Linked DNA regions of Ovis aries. The protein of the gene in region 2 interacts with the protein of the main gene of each other region in a biochemical or structural test. Links are inferred from orthologs where the notes say so. Each region holds a gene or a part of one and is shown on either strand. Other genes may lie near its edges.

The links.
Region 1: the proteins of JAG1 (region 2) and NOTCH2 form a complex in vitro, tested with the Homo sapiens proteins (2 studies listed by BioGRID). The link is inferred for Ovis aries from reciprocal best matches to the Homo sapiens genes JAG1 and NOTCH2.

What each region holds. Positions count from the first base shown.
Region 1 is NC_056054.1:97,293,077-97,308,640, forward strand, and holds part of NOTCH2 (neurogenic locus notch homolog protein 2), read right to left. Parts: intron 15,463-15,564; coding exon 15,226-15,462; intron 12,049-15,225; coding exon 11,936-12,048; intron 11,015-11,935; coding exon 10,509-11,014; intron 9,168-10,508; coding exon 8,820-9,167; intron 7,960-8,819; coding exon 7,817-7,959; intron 7,618-7,816; coding exon 7,407-7,617; intron 6,979-7,406; coding exon 6,882-6,978; intron 5,792-6,881; coding exon 5,623-5,791; intron 4,812-5,622; coding exon 4,510-4,811; intron 3,714-4,509; coding exon 3,566-3,713; intron 2,941-3,565; coding exon 2,843-2,940; intron 1,919-2,842; coding exon 530-1,918; 3' UTR 1-529. UniProt on the Homo sapiens protein: Functions as a receptor for membrane-bound ligands Jagged-1 (JAG1), Jagged-2 (JAG2) and Delta-1 (DLL1) to regulate cell-fate determination.
Region 2 is NC_056066.1:3,766,075-3,781,638, reverse strand, and holds part of JAG1 (protein jagged-1), read left to right. Parts: intron 1-1,553; coding exon 1,554-1,684; intron 1,685-1,864; coding exon 1,865-1,984; intron 1,985-2,898; coding exon 2,899-3,012; intron 3,013-4,031; coding exon 4,032-4,145; intron 4,146-4,731; coding exon 4,732-4,845; intron 4,846-5,257; coding exon 5,258-5,304; intron 5,305-5,643; coding exon 5,644-5,817; intron 5,818-6,326; coding exon 6,327-6,477; intron 6,478-7,265; coding exon 7,266-7,430; intron 7,431-7,904; coding exon 7,905-8,018; intron 8,019-8,486; coding exon 8,487-8,600; intron 8,601-8,681; coding exon 8,682-8,795; intron 8,796-8,931; coding exon 8,932-9,048; intron 9,049-9,503; coding exon 9,504-9,531; intron 9,532-9,968; coding exon 9,969-10,054; intron 10,055-11,410; coding exon 11,411-11,524; intron 11,525-12,169; coding exon 12,170-12,279; intron 12,280-12,365; coding exon 12,366-12,599; intron 12,600-12,806; coding exon 12,807-12,938; intron 12,939-13,338; coding exon 13,339-13,489; and 3 more. UniProt on the Homo sapiens protein: Ligand for multiple Notch receptors and involved in the mediation of Notch signaling. May be involved in cell-fate decisions during hematopoiesis. Seems to be involved in early and late stages of mammalian cardiovascular development.

The DNA.
Region 1 (15,564 bases), on a different chromosome or scaffold from region 2:
GGGTTCCAGCCACAGAGAGGTGCACAATTAAAGCACCAAATGAAGTCAAAAGAATTTTCCAAGGATGAGAACAGGAGACAGGTCACATCTGGCAGAATTCCAGGGCACAACTCCCAGGAGGAGTCTATTGCAGAATCTTCTCATAGATATGGCAGAAGCCCCAAGGCTGAAAAATGTACTCCAGGCTGTAAGAATGTCTACAACAGGCATCCATCTTGTTCTCTGTATTGAAGAGAGGAAATGTGGTCCCAAGTCTTGCATTCATCTTGCAGTTCCGTGAACTTGGGGACTTGATGGGCAAGAGACTACAAGAAGCCTTGTCCCTTCCATGTTCCCCAAACCCCACAGATGCTCAGTGAAGCTAATTAACTCGCTTCTTCGGGTTATCTACAAGAAAAGAGCCCCTCCTCTCTCCTGCCTCCAGAAGCTGGTTCCAGAGATTTCTTCATTTCTTTCCCGGATGACCTTCATTTGTTCCTCAGCAGCATTTACAAGAGGAGTTCTGTGTCTAGGCTGGAGGCAGATTCTTTCACGCATAGACCTGCATGTTGCTGCGTGGTGGCTCAGACATGTGTGTCCCAGGTCCCCGCTGACCTCCTCCAGCACCCCCAGGAGTGGGGCTGGTGGTCACATCTGACCAGTCAGAAGCAGAGTGGGGTGATGAACTTGACCACTGGTCAGGAGACTCTGGGGACGGTGTCAGGTAGGGATGCTCACCCTGGAGGTGACCACTGTGACTGGGTGTTCTCTCAGCAGCATTGGAGGAAGCATAGCTATGCTGTGATGGGGGTGTGGGATACTTGCCCACGGAGGCCGGGAAGGGGTGATAGGCTGGGAGAATGGTCTGAGCAACCTGCCCATCCTGCTGGGGCATCATGGCAGTGGGAAAAGCCATACTGGGCAAGCGAGCCATTTCTGGAATCTGATACATGGTGGGCAGGGTACCTGCAACGGCTGGAGGGCAGTTGGACGGAGGCTGGGCAGCCCCAGTTGGTTGGGCAATGCTGCCCTTGGGGATTAGCTGGAAAGTCACAATGGGGGGCAAGGGCTCTCGGGGGGTGGTTAAATGCTTCCCTTCGGGCGGCCTGCTCTGGGGAGCTATGCCAGGGTGGGTGCCCTCAGCTGGAGCCAGGACCATACCGAACATCTCGTTGTACTGGCTCTCATTCACCTCCACACGGTTCATCCAGTCGGCCGGGACAGGGACTGGATGTAGCCTACCCACGCTCCCTGCGGTGCTGCTGCCTGGGGGCACAATGTGGTGGTGGGACAGCAGCTGGCTCACCGAGGGAAGCACGGTATTGGCCCCATGAGCCAAGGGCTGCATCTCATGAAGGTTAGAGAAAGACAGTGCATGCTGTGCATGGACGGGGCCAGTGGGGGCGGCAGTGGCCAGCATGGGGGTGGGTGAGGCCTGTAAGATTCCAGGGGATGTGATCATTGGGGAGGAGGTGGTGTCAGAAACATATGTGTGTGGAGACTCTAGGGAATCGACGGGGGACAGAGTCACTGAGCTCTCGGAGAGCTGGCCCTTGTCACTCAGAGACTTCTTCCTCCTGTTCCCCTTGGCATCCTTGGCCTCCTTGGCAAGGTTAGGGAGGCTAGTGGGCACGGCACTCTTGGTGTTAGGCCGTCTAGACTTCTTGCCCATTGGGGTATGCTTCAGACTGAGAAAAGATCTGTTGGGCCCACAAATGACGGGTGAGAGTGCAGAAGTCAGCACTGTGCCGGGGGGGCTGGGCGTCACGTTGTACTCGTCCAGCAGGCGCACGATGTCATGGTGCATGCGGTCCCGGGCCACGTCCCGAGGAAGACGATCCATGTGGTCTGTGATGTCCCGATTGGCAAAATGGTCTAACAGGATCTTGGCTGCTTCATAGCTCCCCTCCCGGGCAGCAAGAAACAGGGGTGTCTCCTCCTACAGAAAAAAAGAAAGAAAAAGCCCATGCAGAGTGCATTTTAATAACACTCCTGAGAATACAGCCATGTTTCTCAATCTTTTTGTTATCACTCCTTTAGACATTTTTTCCTAACTGCCTTCCCACATGAAATTTTAATACCACAGATAAAAAGTGTGCACCTACCTATGTACTGAATGGCTATCTGTAATTTATACATAAAGAAAAATTATTTTACTTCTCCCCAAGATCCAGCTTTGCCCTACTGAGGGCTATGTTTTCTTAATGGGGAAGTGTGAAATAAAGCATGTCCCTGAGCCATAAATTCACCTGCAAGAGCACTGAGCTTATCAAAATAGGGTTCTAAAAGGAGTAACAGAAATAAAGGTATGAGGGGAAGAACCTAAAGCACGTAGAGAAAAATAAGGGAAAGTGAAAGAAAGAAAGACGAAACATCTGAGACAAAGAACAAAATAATGGAAAAGAGGAAATGAGCAAGAGAAGATAAGGTGAGCAACAGAGGGAAGCATGACACGGAAGTCAGAGGAAGCAGGAAAACATCATGGAGCCCAAGAACGGGGCAGGGCTGGAGGACGCGGAGCATCAGGAAAACAAAGAAGAACAAACAAGTGAAAAGGAAGGAAGTGTGTGCGAACAGAACAAAGACCAGGAAAAAGGGAAATGTCAAAGAAAGGCAGAAAAGTTTACACCAAAGTTATCAAAGGGACAGCCTGGTGCACAGTGAGCAGCCTAAGGGTCAACTCTGACATTTCACTGGATAAGCCCAATGCAAGCACTCAGGCACTCTGGACCCATTTCCTGCCCAATCTGCTTCCATCTTTGTCTATCCTTATTACAGAGCAGCTACAGGAGAAAAGGAATGGTCTCATACATAATCCGAGGCACTGCTGTACCTGCCCCCTAGCTCAGAGCCCAGACTGTACCTTGTTGTCCTGCATGTCTCGGTTGGCCCCATTTTTCAACAGCAAAAGGGTTGCCTCCACATTATTCACAGCAGCTGCCCAGTGAAGGGCAGATTTTCCTGCAGGAAAAAACATTTTTATAAGCAGACAGAGTAAGAGGTTAACAAGGAAACCTTGAACTTCTCAGACAACAGCTAGAAGCCAGTTTTCTCTGGGGGCCCACAGGAAAAATCAAAGATTATCTTCATATTCCCCTATTCTAGAAATACTTTGGTACAGGCTGCCTAGCTTTCAGAAGACCTCAAAGTAAAAGGATCATCTGTCTACGGTACCACATCCTTTGTGTGGCAGAATCTACCCTGTCACATGCTGAAGACAATAACCTGCTTTTTTATTACATGCCAGGATATATAGTTAGAATATCTCACCACCCTACCCCTTCCATGAAGTCAGCTCTCATATCCTCATAACAAGAGTGGTATACCTGGGAACTTATGCAGGAAAACTCTCACAGACCTGCTCTTAGATCCAAGAACTCTCACTAAAAATCCCTTCCCAACTTTATCTATGGACTTCACACTGTCTCAGATCTCTGAACTCAATATTGCAAAAGGAAGACGGAATGAATGAACGAATCTTCAGTGGGTTCGGATCTGAGACAACTCTCTAGGGATCATGCAATAATTCTTTCCTTAGAGGCCTGCTTTGCAGGTAGGAATCTGAATCCCTGCTGCTCATCCCTACCATGGTCATCCACTGCATTCACATCTGCCTGGCAGTTGATCAGCTCTGCCACCATTCCCTCCACAGCCAGCCGGGCAGCCAGGATCAGGGGTGTAGTGCCATCATTCATCCTCGCGTCTAGATCAGTTACTCGGTTGCGGATCAGTATCTAGAATATGAGAAAGTACAGAAAAGAGTCAGCTGAATACAAAAAATAATGAAGCTAAGATAAGACAGACATAAAAGCATCAGAGTTGAGGCTCTACAGTAAGTTCCTGGAGGGCAGGGAATGTTTTGCTATCTTCGTGTCCAGGTTCTCCTAGAGTCAATCAACTAATATCTAAGGAATGAATGAATAAAGGAATAGGATGAATGAATACACAAACAGGTGCTCAAGCTCTACAATGGCTTTGTAAATTAATGTACCTCTGCTTTCTAAAGAAAGAAGAGGGAAGTGGAAAAATACCACAACCTCCATTGTGGTGTACAAGTTAAGACGATACAGAATTGCTTTCAATTTCCTCTTAAGGCTAAAATAATAGGGCATCAGGTGTGCACTGTGAACTCATGTCAGGAAAACCACCAAGGAGCAGCTGGAAGCCCATACAGTCAGATAAATCTCGAGGGAGAAGCTGACAGCCACTAGTCGGAGGCAGGTGTCATGCACCTGATCTTTTCATTTGGGAGGTTATTTTGCCTCATCAAAAACAAAACAAACAAGCAAAAAACAAAGCACTGACGAACAATCAGAAGACTGGTGTTACCTGCTTTACTATGAGCTAGCTGTATATGGTCAGCTCTGCCTGCCTGCCTCCCTTCCTGCTTTCCTATCCAGCAAGCATGACTTTATCATCTGCCTTATTCTCTCAAAGAATCACTGAACAAATATAATGGGTTATTACATGTCTTAATGAAGGGGAAACATTCTAGGTTCCTTAGGAGTCAACTCTTTACATGATCTTTACCTGGAAGACACCTTGGGCATCAGCGGCCACTGCAGCATGGAGAGGGCAGCGGCCCATGTTGTCCTGGGCATTGGCATCTGCTCCTGCATCCAGGAGACGCTTGGCAGCATCGGCCCTTGAGTACCGGGCTGCGAGGTGCAGGGCCATCTCACCCGTCCGGTCTGTCTGTGCTTGGAGGCTGGCACCCTGGTAGACTAAGTCTGTGATGATGTTAGCAGAAGAGTCCTCTGCATCTTCATCTTCATCACTCATGTCTGAGCTGCCTCCTCGGAGAGAAGCCAGCATCAGTGGGGTGCACCCATCTGGAGGAAAAGGAAATTCCAAATAGCATTCAAGGAGGGGAAGGACATTCATGTTCACTTAACCCTATTGCTGGAAGAGCTCAATTTGAAGAAAATTATTCTTTTCGGAAAAAAACCCTGTGCTTCTTGTGATAAATGGCGATTGATTTTCCCTTGATAGTATCCTTTCTGTAAAGAGGAGCTAGTCTCTAAGTTAAACAAGCTTTTCTATTCAAGTTTCTAAGTGCTATGCTTTTTTAAATTGGCCATTTAAAAATATCCAGTATTAATAAACTATATACACTAAGGTACGAACTAAACAAATTTTCTATTCCTCTGCTTTGGGATATTATTTTTTTATGCCACTAAAATCTATCCCAAATAATCACCCTTTTTGTTGCTGAACATGCATTATGTGAGGGCTTCCCTGGTGGTTCAGTGGTAAAGAATCTGCCTGCAATGCAGGAGAGGTGGGTTTGATCCCTCGGTCAGGAAGATCCCCTGGAGGAGGGCATGGCAAAGCACTCCAGTGTTCTTGCCTGGAGAATTCCATGGTCAGAGGAGCCTGGCAGGCTACAGTCCATGGGGTCGCAGAGGCGGACACGACTGAAGCAACTTAGCATGTATGCATGCAGAAGGTGAAACAAAATGAAATCCTGCCTCTTTTCTCATACAAATTTTATTTCTGTAAGCCTGTTTGCCTTAGACATTCATTTCCTCAAGCTGATTTCCAGTCTGATTTCCTCGATCACTGAGTGGGGCAAACACAGGGATAAGGTGGAACCGGGGGTGGGCATGGCACAGTGAAGAGAGAAGGCTCGCAGGCACTAACCTGGGCCGCGGACGTTCACATCCAGCACGTCCACCTCTTGTTCTGCCTGTGGAGGGGTGAGAGCCAGCGATGGTGTCCTACGGATGTCTGCAGCTTCCAGGTGCTGCTGTGTCCATGGACGCCGATCGATGGGGTCATCTTCTTCTGAGAGCAAAGCCTCATCTTCAGCCTGAAAGAAGAGGTAAACTCTCCTGATCACTCTGGTACGCCCCCAGGATCTCTCCCAATTCTTTGACTGACTAACTTCTAGCTACCCTTCAAGTAGAGCGCAGACTTTAATTCCTCCTAAAGAACACACGCTGCTCACTCTCCTTAACAAAGCGTTATGTTAGGTGCTTACACAGCATTGCATGGCAGTTCCCACTGCTACCTGAAAGGTTCCTCAGGACAGGGAGCAAGCCTTGTTCAAGGCTGCCTCCTTGTACCCTGTATCCACCCCAATGCCCAGCACAGAGCCAGCATTCAGGAAGTATTTGCTGGATAGTTATTATACTTTTAAAAGCAGCTGACCTTTACAGAATATTCAGTATGTGATAGAAAACAGGTAAGGCAATTCACCCATATTGAAAGAATCATTATTATTTTCCCTATCTTACAGATTAAGGATAAGTAAACATGAAGAGGTTAAATAATGTGCCAGAGTTTGGGACTTGAATCCAGTCCTGACTGTAGTAATTTTCTTAACCATCATGCCTGTTTTCCTCAACTTTATTTCCTCAGAATATCCGTGGAATACATGCATATCCCAGCCGTGTATGTCTATGGGTGAATGGTCTCCTTTTTCATGTCAGACCCAGCCCAATGTACCTCTTACTGCTATATGGCTTTCGTTTCCAGGGATCAAGATTTAAAGCCTCTAAACTCAGTGATCACCGGCTTTCCTCCACTAACTAACTCCACCTTCCCTTGAAGTATCCAGAGAGAATAAGGGAGAGATCTGGCTATGAAAGAAACTGGTGTTTACACATAATAGTCCTTATTCAAGTACCATCAACCTGACATTTGAGGAAGGAAGCATGTTTGTTTTATTATTTTTAAAGAGTTCTTTCTGAAAAACTTACATAGTAACCCAAGGCCATCAATGACCTAAATATTCCTGATTTTTGAAACAACCTAGGATAGTCAAGGCCTGGGCAACATGTACAGACTACCACCCTTCTCTCCCACTCATGATACTCTAGATACCAAAGGACAAAAACGTGAAATATGAGCAGACAATGGCTAATAATGATTATTAGCTTCTACCACGGCCAGCTTACCTTGGCTTTCTTAGGCTGGGGCCCTTCATCGTCGACCCAGTGTTCACTCGTTCCGGAACCAATTAGGTTAGCCTCTGAGACTTGCACTGAGAGATTTCTAACATGACAGAATCATGAAGGTATAAAGGACAGGGTTATATCATAAAAGAACATAGAAATTTTCACAATTTTTCTGCCATCACACATTCTCATGGCTACAGTCAGACTTTCAGGACCCAGGGAAAAAATGGGCAATATTACATCCCATTGCCTGAGTAAAAATCATTTCCTTCCCCACTAAGCAAGAGCTTACGACAAAGGCATGTCTCATCACAAAAGCTGAGCATCCTTGTGATAATATATACAGAACTGAAGCATCCAGACTCTCATTTTATAGCCACAAGCAGGCATTCAGCATCATGGGCAAGTACAGTAGCATGGCATGGCCAGAACTCTGAATTTAAAATCATGATTCAACAAGATCTGATTTTCCACTTATCCATACTTGTTACTACTGTGAATATTAGCTTGTTGACAAACTCTTACTTGAGTCCCACAGCATCCTGGCCCACTGGCTCACGACGTTTGTGGTTGCTGGAGTCACGGCGAAGGGTGAAACCTTCAGGCAGCCAGAGGGAGCCATGCTTGCGCTTTCGTTTTGCCATGATAACCCCCAGCAGGATAATAAACAAGATAATGACAACGGCAACAGCAAGCAGATAGAGAAGCGGAGTGCGTTTTGGGGCCAGAGATTCACCTGCAAGTGCAGAGAGATAGGGAAAGTGGTGAACAAAACATCCACCTCTCAATATTCCCACTAAACTCCTTCAGAGAACAACTTTGACCTCGCTAGCCCTGAGAAACAGAGCGCTGCACACTGTAAGCTGTGCCCCGTTCTCTCTGCCTGCAAGTGGCATTCCTTAGCACACTTTCCCCTTAATTTTAGAGCTACTCACTGACGACAGACACAAGTGGGTACGACAGGGTCCCCTGGATGGCGTGAGAAGCCAGAAGAGCTGCTGCTGCGTCTGTGTTCTTAAAGCACTGGTCTGAGTCTTGAACACACTGGCGGTTGTCAATCTCCAGAAATACCTGAGAGCTGTGGGGAGCCAAGGAGAAATGGCGAGAAAATGTCAACCCAGGAATCTGAGGTAGACCTGCTTCCTCACCCTCAGCCTCGGGCTCTCTACCTCTGGGATGCTGTCTCCAGGAAGATCCCAGAAATTAAGATATGGTTTACATCCTAATTCTCACTTAGGGTGGGCTACAGTCCATGAGTCACAAAGAGTCGGACATGACTGAGTGACTAACACTTTCACGTTCTTGGTTTGGCTGCATCTAACTGTTTTGACTTTTAGGCAACATAAGACACATTGAGAAAATGGGGTGAAGTTGCCTTTGGTGGGCTGCTTCTACCCCTTCCCCCTTCCGGTGTATTCAACGGTACATACAGCTACTCTAAAAACATACCCCTACCTTTTTCTTTTTGTTCCTTACTCTCCTTTCTCTCTGCATCCGTACTCGAGCTAGCTAGCAAGCTGAACATTGTGAGATACCAAAAAATCCTGAGTGTGGATGACATAATATATGCAGAACATCACCCTTGTCAAAGGGACAGAAATGAAGGGCCTTGAAAAGAAGTCCAGGATTAATACAAAGAGGAGTCATCACTAGAAGGATTTACGCCAACTCTGGCAAATGGTTAGATTCTAGCACATGAGGAGCCCGTTCTGACGTCCTGCCACTTGACTTGCTTCAGCCCACTTTTCAGGATTCCAAGATCAAGGCAAACCTTGAGCACTGACTGTAAAGACTGGTATTACAGGCTTGTGTTATTCGGTTGACTGTTTTGTTTTCTGACCTTCCATCTTGATAGGTGCAGTTGCAGTTATGATATCTGTGTATCAAAGTGCTCAGCTTGATAAAATTAAGCTTTAAGTTCAGAAATTAGACACCTACCCAGCCACTTCCTGTTCTTCATCTCCAGGAAGGGACCTGCGTGTCAATCTCTGCTTCTTCATGGCAGCTGACTTCCCACCATAATAGGGGTAGACCATGAGCTCCCCCTGTGCATCCCGTTTGATGCGGAGGTTGGTGTGGAGCAGGGTGCCCAGTGCCCGCAAGAATCTGCGGGCATCCTGGAGCAGCTGTTCAGGGGGCATCAGCACCACAATGACGAGGGTGCCCTCTGCCAGGTTTTCTGGCCGGTCCGCAGCACAGTCCAGCCCATCCCAGCCACACTCCTCACTGTTGCAACCCTGGTCACAGTGGTTGTCTTCGTAGTGGTCTGCACAGTACTTGTCATATCTAGGCAGAGGGAGGCAGAGAACATGGTAAGATTACAGTGGAACTCTGTTTTCCACTTGGAACTAATGCGGATTTTCCTACCCATCTTCTACAGCTCAGATTAGATCCTGAAAGTCCTCTGAAGCCTCTGTGACTCTCCGTGCCTGACTGCTTACAGTATATACAGTCTATACACCTTAGCATCAGTGAGTGCTCTCTGAATGAGAAACAAAGCTACTCACTAAACTCATGGGCCCCTAGGCAGCTTGTCATCATGTTAAATCAGATTTGTAAACAAATCTGAAACAAAAATACCTGGCTCATGTTTTCTTTATTTTTATATCCATTGTCTCTGGGCTTCCAGCAGTAAAACAAGACTCTAGAGAGTGCTTCCACAAACTGGAAAGTAGCCCCATACCAACAAGAGATGCTGTACAGTTGACCTTTGGCCCATTTGATATGGCCCATTTCTTTTCTAATCAAGACTGTATCTTTACTGTGGAAGGTAGGTGGCGAGAAGTGTGTCCCACACAGGATACCAGATCTAATTCATACAGCATCTTTCAAACATTGGGAAATGGAAACTGACTCCCAAAGCCCGTTGATGCAAAAATCGTTTGATTTCCACTCACCCCTTCTCCCTCCTCACTCCTATCCCTGATGGTTACACCACTCGGTCCAACTTGCCACTCTAGCTCAGTGAGATCAGGAGTCAGGAGGAGCTGTATCTGCTCTGGCAAGTTCTTGAACTTCCCAAGTCTCCCTTCCCTGGCCTGTTAAAGGCCATTAACACCACCTATGCCTCACAAGGTTGTTGAGAATTAATCAGGGTTGAACCAAATGGGATGACTAAATGGAAAGCTATTATGTAACCCACAAAGCCCCCTACAGTTGCAGCAGTGAAGACCAGGAGGGTTAAGCTGACTAATCTAGCAGATGCTTCCCGATAAGTCTGGAGGGGAAACCCAGTCTTAGGGAAAGGCATGGGATGAATAGAGAGGGGTACAGACCTTTGCAACCATGCTGCAGGCAGATTATGTGAGAGGCTGCCTGACAGTGGGTAACACTTCCAAAAGTCCATTCCCCTGGGAACCTGTGACAGCAGCAGGCGAGGAAGCAGAGACAGGCAGAGAGAGAGTGGCTGTGCAGTGAGCGTTTCTGCCCCTCGGTCAGCAAGGGAGAGCACAGGGTAGTGTGTGATGGGGCAGGGTGGCACCAGGGAGAAGAGGGCAACTGGTGCCAGTCCAGAAGGCGGAGGTGGCTTGGGCAGAAGCACTGGAGTGGTTAGCAGCAAAAGAACAAGAGACCGAGGTGTGTTAGTGACAGCGCTGCCCCTCAGTTCTGGGGACCCTGGGCGCTTACTTGCATGTCTTGCTACTCTTCTGGCATTCAAAGTTGTCAAACAGGCACTCGGCCGTGTTGCACAGCTCGTCGCACTGGTTGTTGATGTACTCCCAGCAGGGCAGCGGGGAGGAGCAATTGGCCCAGGGGTCTTCCATGGTGAGGGAACAGTCCCCCCCGTCCCACTGGCAGGCATGGCTGTTGCACACGTCATCACAGATGCCGTCCCGAGCTTTGTCGGCACAATACTGGCTCAGGCAGGTGGCGGGAGGGGTGCTGGTGGGGGTGCTGTAGAGTTCACAGTGGCTGCCCCGGAAGGGCGGGGCACACTGGCACGAGTAGTACGGAGGCTGGCGCTGAGGGTGGCAGCTCCCCCCGTGCTGGCAGGGGCTACTGGCGCAGCCCGAGTCGCAGTCCTGGGGGTTGGGGCAGAAGCAGCGGGGGCCCGAGGCCGTGTGCACACACTGCTCCCCTCTCCTGCACTTCACCTGTCCGCAGGTGCTCTGGCACCGCACCCCAGAGAAGCCCTGTGAGAATCAGTGGACGAGTGAGGATGGCAGGTGACTCGTGAGGGCAGGCCCCATTCTCCCCTGGGCCCCTCACCGCCACACCTCTAGGGAGGTAAAGACTAGGCTCTTGAGTAAGATCCCTCCAGGTAGCCTCCTGGACCGAGTTATAGGAAGAGACTTCTTCAAGTCAACCTACAGGTCAGGGTGGTGGTTCCAGGATGAATACAGAACTTTTTTACTCTTAAGAGCTTGCTTCTAGAAATGAAGTCCGGAGTTCACATTAGGATAAGGTGACCCTGAACCTATTAGCACCTTTCCAAATCATCAGTAGATCACTCATACAGTGACTTTACAGGGGAAAGAACACACTTCAGAGGATCAGATGTCTAAAAGACTTTCCTATGTCATTTCGTACTTGGACGCCTGGCTCAGTCCAGGCCAAGGTTACTGGACAGGTTTCCTTTTGATATCCCTCTACTCATCTATTAGGAAGCTTTTAGCTTCTGGCAGGAGCAAAAGTGTTTGCAGAGCAAATGGCTAACGTTAAGACTTCCTTCTAGTTGAAGAAGCAATCTGTTCCCAAATAACTGCTGTCGAGGGATGTGAGCAGAGTAGCATTTCCAATACTCTGTCCCAGTCTGGGCGGCAAGACCACCCTCCAGCACAAGACCCAGAAGCCAAATACACTAGCCCTGTTCCCAAGGGAATATCCCACTGCCCTCAGTGCTTCTGAGGACTGACAGTCACAGATCAGGGAGCTCACTGTTTCCCGAAGTATTTTAATAGTTTTAAGAGGAAAACGGAAGTACTTTCTCCTAAAGAGGCTAACATTAAGAAACGTCCCCACCAAGAAAGCTCCCCACCGAGCTCGGAAATGCCAGGTTTCGTCTCGGCTCTGTCACAGGCTATATGGAATTCAGTAGGCACTGTGGCACTCACCGGGGGACAGCGACAGATGAAACCATCGGGCATGTTGCTGGCCACAGCACAAGTGCCTCCATTCAGGCAAGGCATCTGGGGACACATGTCGACGAACGTTTCACAGTGACGACCTCAGAGTAGAAAATGAAAGGGGGTTTTAAAAGGTGGAAGCAGTAACTCAGGTTATTGAACAGGATACTACTGGGATGTGAGCTAGTCAAAGGATTAGAGAGGGAGCAAGAGGTGTGAGAATTGAGTTCTAAGCCTAAGGGGACAAGAGAGGATGAGGAAGGCACACGCCAGATCCCAACATCCTCGGCCCATCATCCACTCAGGACAGTTCCCTCATCTGTCTTATCTACAGTAATAAGTGCAAATGGCACATGACTGAACTGACTCACAAAATAAGATATGTACAAAAAATGACTAACTCCTCAAAAAAAAAAAAAAAGAAAACGACACCTAAGCTCTTTTAAAGGCACTTTAGCTTTCGTAAGTCAAAAGCATTTAGCAAAAATTCACTGCATTTTGTTAACACTGTCTACTTCATGAGACAGGCTGCTGCTGCTGCTAAGTCGCTTCAGTCGTGTCTGACTCTGTGCGACCCCATAGATAGCAGCCCACCAGGCTCCCCTGTCCCTGGGATTCTCCAGGCAAGAACACTGGAGTGGGTTGCCATTTCCTTCTCCAATGCATGAAAGTGAAAAGTGAAAGTGGAGTCACTCAGTCGTGTCCGACCTCAGTGACCCCATGGACTGCAGCCTTCCAGGCTCCTCCGTCCATGGGATTCTCCAGGCAAGAGTACTGGAGTGGGGTTACAGTAGCCTGGACAGGCTACACCAGGCCAATACATCTAAAACAGTGATTAACATATCTATGCTACTATAGGTAAAACCGATAACTAATAAGAACCTACTGTATAGCACAGGGAACTTAACTCAGTAGTCTGCAATGACCTACATGGGGAAATAATCTAAAATAGAGTGGATTGATGAATATGTATAACTGACTCACTTTGCTGTATAGCAGAAAATAACACAACACTGTAAATCAACTATATTGTAATAAAAATTAAAAGGAAAAACTTTTGGGACAGGGGCCATGGCTAATTCATGTTAATGTACGGCAAAACCCACCACAATACTGTAAAGTAATTAGCCCCCAATTAAATTAATTTTTAAAAATGTCGATTTGCAGTTTATATTGAATTTTTATCAGTGACATCTGTTTTAAAATGTTCCAGCCTTTCTGTAACCTTATCGGCATTGTTTTAAAACACAGCTTATGTTAGCACTACCTGCACAGCTTGTGTTAGCAGAAACTAACACAGCATTGCAAAGCAATTATATTCCAATAAAAATTTAAAGCAAACATACCAAACCCCCACAGCTTAACATTCCCACCATAATTGTGATTGAAGTCAAAGGATTTTTCAATTCCCAGGTGTGGAAAACAGAAACACCACTTCTGGCTGCTGCTGCTGCTGCTAAGTCTCTTCAGTCATGTCTGACTCTGTGCGACCCCACAGACGGCAGCCCTCCAGGCTCCCCCGTCCCGGGGATTCTCCAGGCAAGAACACTGGAGTGGGTTGCCATTTCCTTCTCCAGTGCATGCAAGTGAAAAGTGAAAGTGAAGTCGCTCAGTCGTGTCCGACCCTCAGCGACCCCACGGACTGCAGCCTACCAGGCTCCCCCGTCCATGGGATTTTCCAGGCAAGAGTACTGGAGTGGGGTGCCATTGCCTTCTCCGCCACTTCTGGCTATGGGACCCCAATTCAAGGTGGTTTCCACTCCTTTCGTGTATTTCCTTCTTTCTTCCTAGGGCTCATCAGCACTTCCAGATAAAGGAAGCCTCAGAGGTAATGAAAGGAACAGGAGTCAGTGGTCTTCTAGTTCTCAAGCATATCATGACCAGTGTGAGACGACAGATTTGTTCATAGTCTTTCTGTCCAGGGTTGCCTCAAACATATGACGTTGGTATTGGATTGTTTCTCTTTTGATGCTGTACCTAGGTGTTTTCCATATTTCAAAATCTACCTCCCCCCCTTTTTTAAAATAAGATTCCAAAGTTCTTAAAGGTAATATATCTTTAAAACTGGAAGGGGGGGATGTCTGGATATAATAAGCCCAGAATGTAGCAGAGTTCAACTTTCCAGATTACTAGTAAGCAGACTAATGCAGACTGTCATCTGACTTCCAAAGAATACTTCTACAGCAAAAGATTTGAGCTGACCCCAGAGTGCAAGACAGATTTCCGGGTAACTGATGGCACTGCCATATTTAGATATAAACAGCTATTTTAGTCCCCCAAAGTCACCAAGTTGCCATTCTACAGAAATAATTAGTAACCGTCTATGATAAAACCCCTATTCGGAGGCAGGACTCACTCATCTTTGTAATCTGTGATGAACACAGCCAAGTCTTAGCGTGCAGGCCCTGCTTGTGACCTCTGAAGTTTTCCTGTTCATACCCTCATCAGTTAGTTTTTGGTTAAACAGCCCAATTTGGATCTATTCCCTTTAATCGTCCAAGAAGACCTAAACTTCTTTGGATCCCAGAAGGTAGAAAGGTCACTATGGCAGCAACAACCCAGGCACTCAAGTCACTACATGCCACAGGAGGCAGGGTGACAAAACCAGAGTTAGATATAAGGTTCCTGAACATGAGATGAAATGAGTTCCAGAGATGGATGGTGGCATAACAATGTGAATATCCTCAATACCACTGAACTGCATACCTAAAAATGGTAAAGATGGTAAACTTTATTCATATGTATTTTACCTCAATTTAAAAATGTTACTTTGCTCAACTTCTCCCAACATTCTATTTCTTTTTTTCATATTTCTGCTACAATAAGATGTAATTAATATGTAACAAAAGAGATAGGATCTCTCAGGAAACACAAACATCTATGGAGCACAGGCCTAGGAAAAAGTTGGGCTCTTGAATTAAGCTGGTCTAGATTTTCACCCTTGCACCTCTGAGGGCAGCCTGGACTGCATACAGCTCACCAGCGACTACCTGTGGCCTTCCCTGGTGGCTCAGATGGTAAAGAATCTGCCTGCAATGCAAGAGACCCGGGTTTGATCCCTGGGTCAGGAAGATCCCCTGGAGAAGGAAATGGCAACCCATGCCAGTATTCTTGCTTGGAGAATCCCACAGACAGAGGAGCCAGGCAGGCTACAGTCTATGGGCCAGAAAAGGTTCCCTTGGTCTAGATGTGTCATGCAGGGCCCAGTTTCCTCACTGAAACCCCCACCCCACTGCGAGGCAGAGTGGCTGGGGAAGCTGGAAAGGTGCTCAGCTCACCAGTGAAGGTGCTGCGGCAGACGCACAGGTAGTCATTGGTGAGCTGAATGCAGTCCAGGCTGCCCTCAGAGCTGCACGGGCTGGACAGGCACTCGTTGATGTCCCCCTCGCAGCGTTCTCCAGCAAAGCCTGGCAAGCAGCGACAACTGTAGCCCCCAATCCTGTCTACGCACTGGCCACCATTAAGGCAGTGGGGACCTCTGGCACAGTCGTCAATGTTCTCTTCACAAAGCAGGCCTGGAGGAGAGAGAGGAGGGAGAGGAAATTATGACGGTTCTTGGAACGCTGCCTTCCAGGAAGGGAAAACCAGCCCTGGTGGCATTTCCACAATTAGTCAGG
Region 2 (15,564 bases):
TCTTCTTGCATTTTGTTAAGCAAATTGAAGAGGTGTAGCAAACCCTCATTTGGGAGGGAATTGGGGAAAGACAGTGACAAGAATGCTATTTCCAAATCAACTCCCTCTTAATATCTACCTTCTAGGCTAAGAGTATCAAAAGCATCACCCTGAGCTCCCACCAACTTGAGGGTCCACTTTTAAAGAAATTGCTACCAAAGCATTGACTTTGTTCTTATTTTACTCCATTAAATAGTCATTTGTCATTTAGACTGAAGTTTCATTTCAAATCAACCGGAATCCTGTGTCTGATTTTTAAACCACACATCCTGGTGGTTCTCTGTACTGGGGCGTGGATGGCTTGCTCTTAGAAGTTAGGAAGTGGTTAGTCAGAATTCTCAGGGGCTAAGTTGACTCGCGGCCATGGGTGATTAGCTATTAGCTGGATCCCTATAATTTTCCCATGACGAAGGTTTTTAGCTTGCCTTCAGCTCTCTGGAAGCAGAAAGCCTTTGCATCTTGGGGTGCTTGTTTTCCCAAGTTCAGCTGAGTGGGAAGGGGGAGACAGTTCTGACACGGCTTTCGTGGGCCCACCGTGGAAATGCTTGCCTGTCACTCTCCCTTGCTCACCCCCCCCTTCACTCTGCCATGGGGGCCCCCTCCCCTCTGCTCCAACCTGTTTGCTGAAGCTGGATTTCTGAGAAGACACAGTTGCAGAGGGCTTGAAACCTGAGGGAAGAGTAGCTGAGCCCTGCCCCAGGTGAAGGTGTGTGCTTCTGGTTTTGTTTGAGGATCAAAGGCACTCTATGGCCTCCAAAGAGTCCGATTAGTGATGCGCTTATTTACAAAGGAAATGCACCTCCATTCCCCAATACTGGATAAACTGAGTTGACTTGGTTTTTGCAAAGTGAGAAATAACTGCTATAGAATAAAGAGCATAAGCAGCCACGATGATGGGTCATAGGTCACTCACAGAGCTGGCTCTGAGCACTGTCCGCTTTCCTCGCTGTCCCTGCAGACATGTGTCCAGAGATCCAACCCCATCTCTGCGAGGAAGGGTGCCCCCTCCCTCCGTGTCCCGTCTCAGGACGCCTCCTTGGGAGGCAGTTTCCTGCCACCCTTGACATCTTGATGCCTTGTTGTGTGCTGGGGTCATGACTTGCCCTGGGAGGGACTCCAGTGGAGCTGCGGTGTAAAACTCGCCACCTTTGCAGGACTTGTGCGTGGCTGCTGTCACTGGAGGGCGAGCCCTCTCCCCCGCCCCCAGGGCTTGACTGATTCCCCACTCTGGGCTCCTGTGGGAACCGAGAAGAGAGAGGGGCTTTGTGCAGGAAGGCCCTGGCACGGGCCTCTCCCTAGACAGCCTGCCTTTTGTCGGGAGTCACCTGGGCCTGGGAGGGGCCCTCGGTCCCACTGTGAAAATGTTTGTTTAGAGGGAACCGCTGGACGGACCTTGAGCGTCCACCAGGCGGTCACCAGAACTAGCGAGCCTGGGCTTCGAGCGCTTGTGTTTCCCGGCTGGGCTCTCCCCGCCAGCTCTGGAGGGTAAGGGCTGGCGTGCTGTGTGTCCCCAGGTGCCAATATGGCTGGCAGGGCCTGTACTGCGACAAGTGCATCCCGCACCCCGGCTGCGTCCACGGCACGTGTAACGAGCCCTGGCAGTGCCTCTGTGAGACCAACTGGGGCGGCCAGCTCTGCGACAAAGGTGCGTCCACGCAGGGGCTGGGTTTCCGCTTATTCCGAATCTGCTTGAACTTGCCTTTAATGCTGTGAGTTTGGGTTTCTTTCTCTTGGTTTTAGTTTGTAAAGAGGAATGGGTCTTGGAATGCAGCAGGTGGGCGGTCTCTCTGATCTTTGAGAGACTTCTTTGGGGTCTTTTTGGCAGATCTCAACTACTGCGGGACCCACCAGCCGTGTCTCAATGGGGGAACTTGTAGCAACACAGGGCCTGACAAATACCAGTGTTCCTGCCCCGAAGGGTACTCCGGGCCCAACTGTGAAATCGGTAAGTGGTCTAGGCACAAAGAGAGCCCCTTTTCTACTTTTTGTCTGCTCAACTCAAATACACTTAGAGACTTGGAAAAGGTGAAACTCTCCTCCGGTGTTAAGACCTGTGCTCCCAGCAGCTCCGTGGCTCTCTGAAACCTCCCTCCAGTTGCTCAAGTGTTTTGGGTGTGGCTGATTGCATTGGGGCGGCGTGTGCAGGGCAGTGACCCATCTCCCAGTCGGAAGCTGGGAGAAAGGTGACCAGAGCTTAGCGAGAAAGATGACTTCCTTTTTCCCCAGACACAGCGAGGTTGGGTCCCACGCTTGCTTTCATTTCTATTTTTTTAAGTATTTATTTATTTTAAATTGATGATTGGTTTACAACATTGGTTTGATTTGTTGATCATACATCAACATGAATTAATATGCTGTACATGGGATTCCCTGGTGGCTCAGACAGTAAAGCGTCTGCCTGCAATGCGGGAGACCTGGGTTCGATCCCTGGGTCGGGAAGATCCCCTGGAGAAGGAAATGGCAACCCACTCCAGTATTCTTGCCTGGAGAATCCCATGGACGGAGGAGCCTGGTGGGCTGCAGTCCGTGGGTTCGCAGAGTCGGGCACGGCTGAGCGACTTCACTTTCACTTTTCTTTCACGTATGTTAACACAGGTGTGCATATGTCCTCTGCCTCTTGAATCTCCCTCCCACCCATTTCCACCCCTCTAGGTTATTACAGAGCCCCAGCCTGATCCCTCTGAGTCATTCAGCAAATTCCTGTTGGCTGTCTGTTTACACGTTAGTGTATATGCATCATTTCTTGAACAAGCTCAAGCTGGTGGCCTGGGGGTGGGCTTTGGGTGGGGTGGGTGGGGGGCTCGTGTCCAGTAGCCTCTTGGTGGGCGTCCCATGCTGATGGCCCTCTGGTGTCCGCAGCGGAGCACGCCTGCCTCTCTGATCCCTGCCACAACAGAGGAAGCTGCAAGGAGACCTCCCTGGGGTTCGAGTGTGAGTGTTCTCCGGGCTGGACTGGCCCCACATGCTCCACGAGTAAGTCCGGGCTTTGACCCGTGTCCTTTCTCAGTGTGGGGGTGGGTGTGTGGTGCGGGCCGCGGATCACGGTGTCGAGATGCAGACTGTCGAGGCTCCGTGTCATCTCAGTGCCAGGTCTGTCTCCGTGGGAGGGGGCAGATGTGCTCCAAGGTCTGAGCTGAGCTTCCGGCCCTGCCCGGGGAAGTCCCCAGGCTCACCTGTCTGAGGCAGCCCCTTAAGTCAGCATGTGCAGCTCTGACGGCAAGAGGCTCCCTGGGAAAGTTGTTGCTCCCTTTGCAGGTGCCCCCTGGAGCCCCGCCTCCTCTGGGTTGGATCCTGGGGGCAGTGCTTCTCCTCAAAGCCCTGCAGACGCCACCTGTGGGGGAGGTTGTCACTACTGAAGTTCATCATGGGGACAAACATTTTCCAAGAGGGACCAGGGCTACCAAGCTACAGATGTGTGGGTCCTACCGTTTGCCTTGGAGGTGGGGAGTCTGTAGTCCTTAACAAGCCCCTGGATTCCTGGGGTGTCGCCAGGCCTGAAATCCTCTGTCATCTACTCCTGAGAGCAGAAGGCGACACAGTTAAGGACACACCCCTCCAAAGGCCCTGGAGTCCAGTGCAGAAGTGGGAGGTTGGGTACCCCAGGCATGTTATTTTGGGAGAACTTTGTGAGCAGATAAGAATGTGATCTTTTTTACCAGTGAAGAAAGTTATTTATCCTTACCACTCCTTAGCTACCTCTGAGCTGCGATGAAACTTTTCTTTAGAAATAAAGGTGGGCAGAGATGCTGTCCCAAATTACCAAGGGCTGACGCCCAGGAATCCAGCTGGCTCTCCGCCTGCTTAGGTCGGGGATTAGATGAACTGGGCCAGTGGGGGATTTAAAGCTAAAATCGGGCCTTACCGTCATTGTGGCTGTGGCTTCAGGTGCCTGGCTCTTAAGTGAAGGTCCCTCATGTGAGGGGCGGTAAACTACCTGATTGTCAAGTGGACTGAGATTACGTTGCCAACCCTCTCCTCTCTCTGTCGAACAGACATTGATGACTGTTCTCCAAATAACTGTTCCCACGGGGGCACCTGCCAGGACTTGGTTAACGGATTTAAGTGCGTGTGCCCGCCCCAGTGGACTGGCAAAACGTGCCAGTTAGGTAAGAGAACTCCCGCACCAGGGTTAGCGTGAGTCCTCCAAGCTGTTAGGGAAGATGCATGTGACCGGCGGTGCCAGTTCACGCGCCGTCCCTCCCGAGAAGTCATTTATTATCAAGGGTCGCGCCAGCGAGCCTGGGAGAAATCACTCGTATGCAAATAGCCTGGCTTTTGGAGGCCCTGTGGGAAAGTCGTGGGATTCCTCGAACCATGTCAATCGTCTGTCCGAGAAGTGTTCAGCTGGGTTCCAAACGGGGATGATCTCATGAGGAATGAGCTGTCTGCATTCTTTCTGCCACTTTTAAATCCCAGCAACTAGGCTGCGCTGGGTTCTGCACAGAAGTGCCTGGTGCTTTGTGCCCTGTGGTTGGGGGCTGGCTGTTCACAGCAGCTGGGAAGTGATCAGTCAGCATGCCTTATTGGATCATGGCTAGGAGGATTCAGATGTTCCAGATAGTATCTCTTATTTATCAAGCTTATTGAAATGTCTCACTTCAGACAACCTATTGGTGGCTTCTTTTGTGGGTGTGGGAGGGTTGGGGTTGGGGGTAGAACCCCATTTCTCACTGTTCATCCTCTTTCTTTCAGATGCAAATGAATGCGAGGCCAAACCTTGTGTAAATGCCAGATCCTGCAAGAATCTGATTGCCAGCTACTACTGTGATTGCCTCCCAGGCTGGATGGGTCAAAACTGTGACATAAGTGAGTGATGTTCTCAGCACTTTGACTTTCATGACGCCAGGGTGTTGACGCTGTTGGCCAGCTACCTATAGTTAGGCTCCAGGTTTAAGACTTGAGGAGCAGAAGGAAAACCTTATAAAAGGAATGTTTTTGGAGAGGGAGTGATCGGTGAAAACATACTTGTTATCAGGCTCATTAGCGGGTAAAACGGCCGTACACTGATAAGGTGGTTAAAACAATGATGTGAAGTTACAGTAGCTCAGTCTGGAAGAATTAGGGAGTGTTCCCACCCAGTAATAACCTTATCTCATGGGAAGCACACAGGAAATCTGATTGGAGGTTTTTAATCTGTCCTGAGAGGAGAAGGCTTTTCAATTAAGCCCAGTTTCAATGTAAATTGCCCCTCTGACGTGATGGCTTGTTTATTTTTTAGATATTAATGACTGCGTTGGCCAGTGTCAGAATGATGCCTCCTGTCGGGTATGTAAACCTTTGCTTCAGTCAAAACCTTACTGATTGACAACAAGCCTAAAGATTGATGGGACCCCTGGAAAGCTCTGTCCCTGGGGGATTTTAAACTGCAGATGAAAAGTGAGGCTCTGGACGCTTCACCTGGGCTCATGTTACCCCAGCCTCCCTCCCGGGAATCATCTTGACGACATGCACATAGAAAGTCCTCTCTCACGTTTGGAGAGGCGTGGCCTCTCTCTCAGTGAATCAGCTGAACCAAAACAGTCATGCTGAACCACCGAAGCCCTGTGTTTGTGCAGCACCTAGAAAAAAATGCATGTGTTTCTCCCCCTCCTTCTCCTCCTCCAGGATTTGGTTAACGGTTATCGCTGTATCTGTCCACCTGGCTATGCAGGTGATCACTGTGAGACAGACATCGATGAGTGTGCCAGCAACCCCTGTCTCAACGGGGGTCACTGTCAGAACGAAATCAACAGATTCCAGTGTCTGTGTCCCACTGGTTTCTCTGGAAACCTCTGTCAGGTGAGCCAGGCTGCAGCGCGAATGGCCAGGTTTTCACAGATGTCTCCTCCTCTGCCTCCATCTTCCGACTGTCTGGAGTCTCCTCTTGACTAGGATCTCTGCGAGATAAGCCGTGAAAGGAGACTGATGAGTGATTGTCTTCCGGGTGTCTGTTGATTTCTTTATTTTTCACTGGAGGATGATTGCTGTGCGATGTCGTGTCTTCCGTGCAACAGCGTGAATCAGCCATAAGCACACGTGTCCTCTCCCTCGTGAACCTCCCTCCCGGCCCCCCACCAGCCTGTCAGTTTCTTTTTGTCAGTTTCATCCCAGACCCAGCGCTCTCCCACTCTGCCCTGCTTTTTCAAATGCTTACCTGGACAGTGTCTAGGACACAGCTATGAATACTGCTGCGTGTCCTCCTGACGGAAGCAGTTGAAAGGGTCACATTCTGGGGGCTGCTGCCCCAGAGGAGTCATAATCAACGCCTTTGTTTTACTTTGTTCCCTGCCTGATCCCTGGTCCCACAGCTGGACATCGACTATTGTGAGCCCAATCCCTGCCAAAATGGCGCCCAGTGCTACAACCGTGCCAGTGACTATTTCTGCAAGTGTCCTGAGGACTATGAAGGCAAGAACTGCTCCCACCTTAAAGACCACTGCCGCACCACCCCCTGCGAAGGTAGCGCTCTCCCCGCTGAACGCTGGCTCCTCTGCGAAGCTCCTCCTCCTCTCTGGCCATTTGTCACTGCCCTGGGACACTCGAGGCGGGTGTAGATTGATAGCCCCTTTGGAGGGAAGCCAGAACACGTGGAAACAATCTACCCAGGCCGCCAGTGGAGGGGCCATGCCTGCAAGTAGCCTGGGGAGAGAAGGAAATTCATTTAGCATCCCATCCTGGGATGGGCTGGTCTGCAAGCAGAGACTTTCCCTGGGGCACCCACTTCAGCAAAGCCTTCTGCCTTGGTGGTCTCTGTACCAGCACATACCAAAGCCTCAGGCCACGTGTGGTTCAGGGCATTTAGAGAGCGATCGGGGCAAGTAGAAACCCTGATTTACCTAACCTTAATTCACTTATGTAACTAGCGCCTGTGGCTGTGTGAGGTGGCTCAGCCCATAGGTTCTGTAAGTCCGTCCTGCAGCCGTGCGTGCCCCTGAGTGGAGGGGAAAGCCGTTCCTCCTCGTCAGTCAGCTTCTAGCAGAGCTGGCGGATGTAGCAGGAAGGGTGGACAGGGCCTGCATGCATGAGCTGCTCGGCTCCACAGGGAGAAAATGCCTCAAAAAAAAAAAAAAAAACTACTCTCCTGTGCGTGGAGTGTCGGCTTTACCTGTCACAGTGTATGCAGCACATGGCCATCTTGGCCCCCGAGGTGCCTTGTGGCACTTGCCTCTGGGAGAGCAGGCGGCCTGGGTCCTGGGTTCGGGGACGAGGGTCCCTGGTGGGGCGCTGAGCCCGGGCCTGTCTTGCAGTGATTGACAGCTGCACCGTGGCTATGGCCTCCAATGACACGCCGGAAGGGGTGCGCTACATTTCCTCCAATGTCTGCGGCCCCCACGGGAAGTGCAAGAGTCAGTCGGGAGGCAAGTTCACCTGTGACTGTAACAAAGGCTTCACCGGAACGTACTGCCATGAAAGTAAGACCGCGTGGCGTCAGGGCCGGGGGCGAGCACCCACCCTGCCTGGCCTAGCCGTGGGGGTGGGGGTGGGGTCTGGATCCTTGTAGGCGAGACCAGCCCAGGGGTGCCGTCCAGGATCCAAGACCGAGGTGGTGCTTACCTGAGATCACTGATGCCCCTGGGGTCTCTAGCACATCTGTTTCAGAAGGTTCTGAAACCTTCGTAGGTAGGGTGGTCCTCCTTCCGCAGCCGTTTCCTCCTGACTCTCACTGAGGAGCTTCGTGTGAGGATGTCCAATAGAATGGACAGGTTGCCCTTTGGAGGCCCCTGCTTCCCCAGCTGCCTGTCAGGTTCCAGGACGGTCCTGATGGAGTTCAGTGTGGTGGTGCCGGGTGGCTCTTCTCGGGAGGAGCTGGAAACGCCTGGGAGAGTGCTGGTGGTGGCATCGCTCGTCCTGCATTCACCCGGGTTCTATGTCCCCTCCTTCCGCAGACATTAACGACTGTGAGAGCAACCCCTGTAGAAACGGCGGCACCTGCATCGACGGCGTCAACTCCTACGCGTGCATCTGCAGCGGCGGCTGGGAGGGCGCCCACTGCGAGACCAGTGCGTCGGGCTCCCTGGGGATGGCAGCGCTGGGGGTGGGCGGCGGAGGCAGCCCAGCAGGCCTTTCCTTTTAGTGAGAATGTCTGGAAGCAAGGCCCCAGCAACTCCTGCCCTGGGACGGGAGAGCCTGTGTGCTGTTAGCATTCGGTGGTGCTCATGCCAGCCCGCGGGAGGGAGCTTCTGTGGAGATGCTTTGAGAATTAGCCCCTGGAATTAGCATGCTTGACATCCTGGCTTACAAAGAAAGGGGTCATCTTTTCCGCCCATCCTGAGTTTAACTTCCATGACTTGTCCCGGGCTCCTTTATTCCTGGGAAAGGCTGCCCCTGCTTAAGTCCCGGCTTGGCTGTGCTGGTGTTTGAACTGGGAGTGGAAAATGGGATGAAGGTGGAGAGACACGCCTCTTACATGTCGTGGGGCGTTGAAAGGCCTGGGAGTGTCTTCAGCTGGGTGTCTGCTCTCACTGCAGACATTAACGACTGCAGCCAGAACCCCTGCCACAACGGAGGCTCCTGTCGCGACTTGGTCAGTGACTTTTACTGCGACTGTAAAAACGGGTGGAAAGGCAAGACGTGCCACTCACGTAAGTGGGGGCCGGCGGGGACCCTGGCCTGTGTCGGGGGCAGGGAGGGCGGCCGGGACTCAGGCCGATCTCCGCGTGCAGGTGACAGCCAGTGTGATGAGGCCACATGCAATAACGGTGGCACCTGCTATGATGAAGGGGACGCTTTCAAGTGCATGTGCCCGGGAGGCTGGGAAGGCACGACCTGCAACATAGGTATGTTCCGCCCCCGCGGGTGCGGTGCGCGCAGGGCATCCGAGTGCCTGGGACCGCCCTCCAGGGCCTGTGTTTTGTCCCTCCCGAGGTCTCTGGAGCCTCAGGGAGCATGGTCTTGTCTGCTCTTGTCTCACAGCCCGGAACAGCAGTTGCCTGCCCAGCCCCTGCCACAATGGGGGCACCTGTGTGGTCAACGGCGAGTCCTTCACGTGTGTCTGCAAGGAAGGCTGGGAGGGGCCCATCTGCACGCAGAGTAAGTGTCCCCCCGACCCCGAGCTCTGCAAGGGCCCGTCCTGACCCCTGGGGCTGGCGATGGAAACCAGAAGCAGAGCTGTGTGATGGCTCCGTGCACAGCACCTGGGCCTGTTCTAAGGCCTTGATGGGAGGCAGCCCTGCCCTGGGCATGAGAAAGTCACCCACGAGATAAGTGGACACAGATGGCGGCTTGCTTTCTGGCTCTGGTCTGACCAAGAGCCATTCTCACAGCCCCCTTCCCGGGGCCTCTTCCTGTGTATGAGTGTCCCATGGTGACTGCAGCAAAGTGTGATGTGGGCCTGGTTCCAATTGAGCAGGGGTCTTAAGCTCCTCCTGCTGGCGTTAATGACAGCCTTATCATTTGGGTATTGTGGAAATCACGGGTGCTTTCACTTAGGGCTAAGAAGGCTTCGCTGTTAAGTTTTTGAATTTTTTTTTTTTTTTACTTTGCAGACACCAATGACTGCAGTCCTCATCCCTGGTAAGCATAGCGCCTTGTTATGCAGGCACTTGTTGGCTGTGACAGGTGTGGGCCTCTCCTGGGCCTCCTGTGTAAAATCCAGCTTCTGATTCAGGAGGGCTGGGGGTTGCTGCAGATTCCTTCTTTCCGACAAGCTCCCAGGCAGTGCCCATCACTCCAGTCTGTGGGCCACACTTCAGTCAGATGGTATCTGCGTTTAGAGCAGTGATGCTCAGACTTGGCCGTACACAGGAATCACTGGGGAGGGTTTAGTGCCTGGGACGCAACTGGAGCTCCTGCAACCAGGAATTGTCAACTGGACACTCTGGGGGTGGGACGCAGGCACTGGTGCCTGTGGGCAGGGCTGAGAGCTGCCCATCATAACCGGCGTGGGGCCACCCTTGGCGGGGGGAGTGGTAGACAGGGCGGTGGTAACCAAGTGGCCTTTGTTTTCGTAGTTATAACAGTGGCACATGCGTGGATGGTGAGAACTGGTACCGCTGTGAATGCGCCCCCGGCTTCGCTGGGCCCGACTGCAGAATAAGTAAGGACCACCTCTGACTGGTATCTCCCCAACCCTTAGTCTAAGAGTTTTCCTCTCTAAAACAGTTATGGCCATGGTTCTAAGTAGCCTTGACAATTAGTCTCCTGCTTCCAGCTGGGAGTAAGATGCCCCTGGCTGGACTCTCCCTCCCACGTGCCTCCTGGACTTTCCCTGGGGCGCACAGCCCCCCTCACTCCTGGGGAGAGAGCCTCAGCCACAGCATCTGATGGTTAATCTACTCTGAGGCTCTAAGGAAAGTGTGCTGCTCCTGTGGTAGCATGAAGCGATGGGCAAGGATGCATAGCCCCAGACCTCAGCCACAGGAAGGGCTGAGGCTGTGGTTTCCAAGGCTTGATCAGGCCCCACTGAAATGATTCAAACAAAATGAGGTCAGGAAATCCAGTTTTTTTAGGAAGTTTAAAGTTTATTCTGAGCCTTTTCCCTACTTTTTTACATGCCCTTTCTTTTGCCAAAAAAAAAAAAAAAAGTGATCAGTTATGCTTCTTTGTGTATGTTCTTATCCCTCAATAATTATTTAAACTTTTAAACTGGTCCTCCTTGAGGTCCTCAAGTCTGGATCTTCAAGAACTACTGGGTGGGGGAAAAAAAAAGTGAAAGTGAAGTCACTCAGTTGTGACCAACTCTTTGTGACCCCATGGACTGTAGCCCACCAGGCCCCTCCATCCATGGGATTCTCCAGGCAGAAATACTAGAGTGGGTTGCCATTGCCTTCTCCAGGGGGTCTTCCCGACCCAGGAATCAAACCTGCATCTCCAGCACTGCAGGCAGACTCTACCGTCTGAGCCACCAGGGGCCCCACTGGGTGGGGGCTTTGTGTCTATTTCATGTTTCTGAATCAAGGATTGGCAGATTATGGCCTGGGGGCCGAATCTGGCCCACTGCCTGTTTTTGTAAATAAAGTTTTATTGACCCACAGCCACAGTCTTGTTTATGTACTGTCAAGGGTTGTTTTCATACTGCAAGAGTTGAGCAGTTGTAACAGAGACCACATGGCCTGCAAAGCCTAAGATATGCTTGCTGGCTGACCCTTTATCAAGATCTTTGCTGGCCTCTGTTCTCTAAATTACACTATCAGAAAAGGAACATTTAATTAAAAATTGCTTTTTCCCCAAATGAGAAATTCTCAGCTGTTAGAAGTCAGGCTCGTGGTGAGCCTTGGGAGGCCGTGACCGGACACTTAGGCAGTACTGATGGTCATTTCTTCATTTGGGTGCTGGTCACATGATGAAAATGCACTCAGCCTATACTTAGACCTACAGATCTTGTCTGTGTGTTTTATCAGAAGAGCATTGGTGCCTCCCATTGGAGCCTAAACTTGAACTCCATTTCTCCTAGACATCAACGAATGCCAGTCTTCACCTTGTGCTTTTGGGGCGACCTGTGTGGATGAGATCAATGGTTACCGCTGTATCTGCCCCCCAGGGCACAGTGGTGCCAAATGCCAGGAAGGTATGTGGGCCAGGTCCTGCTGTCGTGGGTCCCCTGGGCTGAGTGGGCATTGCAGCCACCTTTTCAACTGTTCATGTGTGGACACTGTGCTCAGGGAGAGAATACAGAGGCCACGTCTGCTGGAGACACCCAGGACCGGGAAACCGGAAGGTCCTTTGAAAGCAGAGTCACTGTTAGTTTTAGCCAGCTCTTGTCACCATTATGCTCTGTAATAACCCTCCCCAACCTCTGTGCCTACAGCAGGCAGTTGTGATGTTAGTGGGTACACAGGGCAAGCAGAGTGATGGATGCCTCGCGCTGGGCACCTAGTTCTGTTCTGTGTGCCACCCCACCCTTTTTGGACCGGCACTGTACCCAGGGCGTGTCCTTTTCCTGGCAGACGGCGGGCTTTCAAGGGGCCAAGCTCACTCCCAGGGGGAGACTCCGCTCACTTCTGTCCCTGGACGCTGCACTGATCATAGCTGGTCGCGTGGCCAGGTGCAGGGCCCGCTGAGGGGGGAAGAATGCTTGCCCGCTGAGAGCAGCTGCGCTGTCACGGGGCAAAGGGCGACAGGCCTCAGCATCTCCCGCTGGGCAGGGAGTGAAGAGTCAGGAGGATGGTCCACAGAAAGGGCAGCTCCTGCCACTCACGGGTCCCTGCCTCAGTTTCAGGGAGGTCGTGCGTCACCATGGGGAGCGTGATACCCGACGGGGCCAGGTGGGACGCTGACTGCAATGCCTGCCAGTGCCTGGACGGGAGGGTCGCCTGCTCCAAGGTAGGCACGGCCTGGCCGCCCTCATCCTGGGGCCGCGCGGACCGCCGCCGGGCACCTCCTGAGCTGCGCTCTGTCTGTCCCTGCAGGTGTGGTGTGGCCCCCGCCCTTGCTCACTGCACAGAGGGCACAGTGAGTGCCCCAGTGGGCAGAGCTGCGTGCCCATCCTGGACACCCAGTGCTTCGTGCACCCCTGCACCGGGGTGGGTGAGTGCCGGTCCTCAAGCCTCCAGCCCGTGAAGACCAAGTGCGAATCTGACCCCTACTACCAGGACAACTGTGCCAACATCACGCTCACCTTCAACAAGGAGATGATGTCGCCGGTATGGGACACTTCTGGCTGGCTCTGGAGAGGTGGGGTGTGTCCGCTTGCCCTAAAGCAGAGACATCACGAGCTCGATCTCTTCCTTAGCCTGGATTCTTGTCCTTCACCAAAGCTCAGCTTGCACGCAGCCTCCCTTTCAAGTAAACAGCAGTCTTTTTTCGTTCCGCTCCCTTACACACGTGTGGATTTTAAAATATCATTCTAGGGTCTCACCACGGAGCATATTTGCAGTGAACTGCGGAATTTGAATATTTTGAAGAACGTTTCTGCCGAATATTCGCTTTACGTAGCTTGCGAGCCTTCCCCTTCTGCAAACAATGAAATGCATGTGGCCATTGTGAGTATGAGACCCATTCACGCCTAGTCGTTTCACTGAAAGTAGCCCAGAGAGCTCACTTAGCTAGTATCCAGATGAGCAGATACATGGAAGGAGAGCTTGATGTACATGTGTATTAGGAGCTCAGTTGTATCCAACTCTTTGCAACCCCATGGACCATAGCGTACCAGGCTCCTCTGTCCATAGGATTCCCTAGGCAGGAATAATGGAGTGGGTTGCCATTCCCTTCTCCAGGAGATCTTCCCAGCCCAGAAATCCCCAGCTGGGTCCTCCCCCACTGTAGACAGATTCTTTCTTGTCTGAGCCGCCAGGGAATGGCATACATGTATGGTCAAATAATTTTGAGTAAAAGTGACTGGTGAGCATCCCTGACCCCTGTGTCTGATGCTTCCTTTTTCAGTCTGCTGAAGACATCCGGGATGATGGAAACCCTATCAAGGAGATCACCGACAAAATCATAAATCTCGTCAGTAAACGAGATGGGAACAGCTCGCTGATTGCTGCCGTTTCGGAAGTCAGAGTTCAGAGGCGTCCTCTGAAGAGCAAAACAGGTAGGTGGTGGGGTCAGGGTCCCTTTCTGAGAGGACCGTCCTGTCCAGCTCATCCATAAGACCAGCACAACCTTGCATCCAGGGAAACCCCAGGCGGGAAGTTAGCTGCTGATTCCCTGTTCAAGGATCCCCATTTTTAACTAGCAAGAAGACAGAGGCCGGCTGACATGACAGGATCCCACGGCTGTGGGCAGAGGTGGCCTGACTTGTCCCTTGCCTGCGGGCTGCCTCTGGCTGCAGGCACCGCCTGGGCAGAGTGTTGCCGTACCCTGAGTACGCATCTTCGTGGAGCCTGCTTGTGCTCCGGGGTTGGGGAACAGTCCATCCTAAGAGCGGCTTTGATGAATGGCTCAGTGGCCCTGCAGGGCAGCGGGAGTGCCCCGGGGATCCCTGGAGCATCACTGTGCTATAGCTGGCACGGGACCCCCGGGGGCGTTGGAGCCATGCGTCCCAGGGCCTTCTTTCTGATGATTCTGAGAACCACTCATCTCATGAGCTGTCTCAGTAGCCAGACGCCCCTCCCCACACAGAAGTGTGCACGCGTACGGGCTGCTGTTTTCCCTGGTCTCTCCGGGGAGGCCGGCAGGGTCTCTGAGGACACCCGGAGGGACGATGCGGGTGGGGAAGGGGCTGGGGCCGCGGTGTGGTTCACCGGGCTCCCCGCCGCCGCCCTGCCGTGCAGATTTCCTGGTGCCGCTGCTGAGCTCTGTGCTGACCGTGGCCTGGGTCTGCTGCCTGGTGACCGCCTTCTACTGGTGCGTGCGCAAGCGCCGGAAGCCGGGCAGCCACGCGCGGGCTGCTTCCGAGGATAACACCACCAACAACGTGCGCGAGCAGCTGAACCAGATTAAGAACCCCATCGAGAAGCACGGGGCCAACACGGTCCCCGTCAAGGACTACGAGAGCAAGAACTCCAAAATGTCCAAAATAAGGACACACAACTCGGAGGTGGAGGAGGACGACATGGACAAACACCAGCAGAAGGCGCGCTTCGCCAAGCAGGCCACGTACACGCTGGTCGACCGAGAGGAGAAGCCCCCCCATGGCACGCCGGCCAAACACCCCAACTGGACAAACAAACAGGACAACAGAGACCTGGAGAGCGCGCAGAGCCTGAACCGCATGGAGTACATCGTATAGCAGACGGGCGGGCGCCGTCCGAGGGCTCCCGGGCTCCCGCTCCTGCGGCTGCCCTGTCTGTCGTGTTCCGGCCCCACGCTGTCCTGGATGTAGAGTCCCGTGCTAATTTAAGTTCTGACAAGCTGGCTTACACTGGCAATGGTAGTTTCTGTGGTTGGCTGGGTGGCACTGCACCGCGCAGCTATGCAAACACCGGGCCCCCCGCCCCCGCCTGCCCGCACCTCCGGATCAGGCTCCCAGGAGTACGCCCAGCTTCCATTTCTGCCAGATGTCCCGATGGTGATGCAGTCTTAGGATCATAGTTTTTATTTATATTTATTGACTCTTGAGTTGTTTTTGTATATTGGTTTTATGATGACGTCCAAGTAGTTCTGTATTTGAAAAGTGCCTTTGCAGCTCAGAACCACAGCAACTATCACAAATGAGTTTATTATTTATTTTTTTTATTGTATTTTGTTGTTGTTGGGGGAGGGGGGACTTTGATGTCAGCAGTTGCTGGTAAAATGAAGAATTTAAAGAGGAAAAATGTGTCAAAAGTAGAATTTTGTATAGTTATGTAAATAATTCTTTTTTTTATTAATCACTGTGTATATTTGATTTATTAACTTAATAATCAAGAGCCTTAAGACATCATTCCTTTTTATTTATATGTACGTGTTTAGAATTGAAGGTTTTTGATAGCGTTGTAAGCGTATGGCTTTATTTTTTTGAACCTATTTTCTTATTACGTGTTGCCTATAAGCCAAAATTAAGGTGTTTGAAAATAGTTTAAGACAATAGGGTGGCCTTTTGTGCCTGGAATACTGGTGGAATTTTTTTTTTTTCGTACGACGTCAGATATTTAAAACCCCGACTGAGAGGCAGTTTGAGAATTAGTCTAGAACAGGTGTTTTTTTTTTTTTTTTTTTTTAAAGACTTGAAGAGAGACAGGCAGA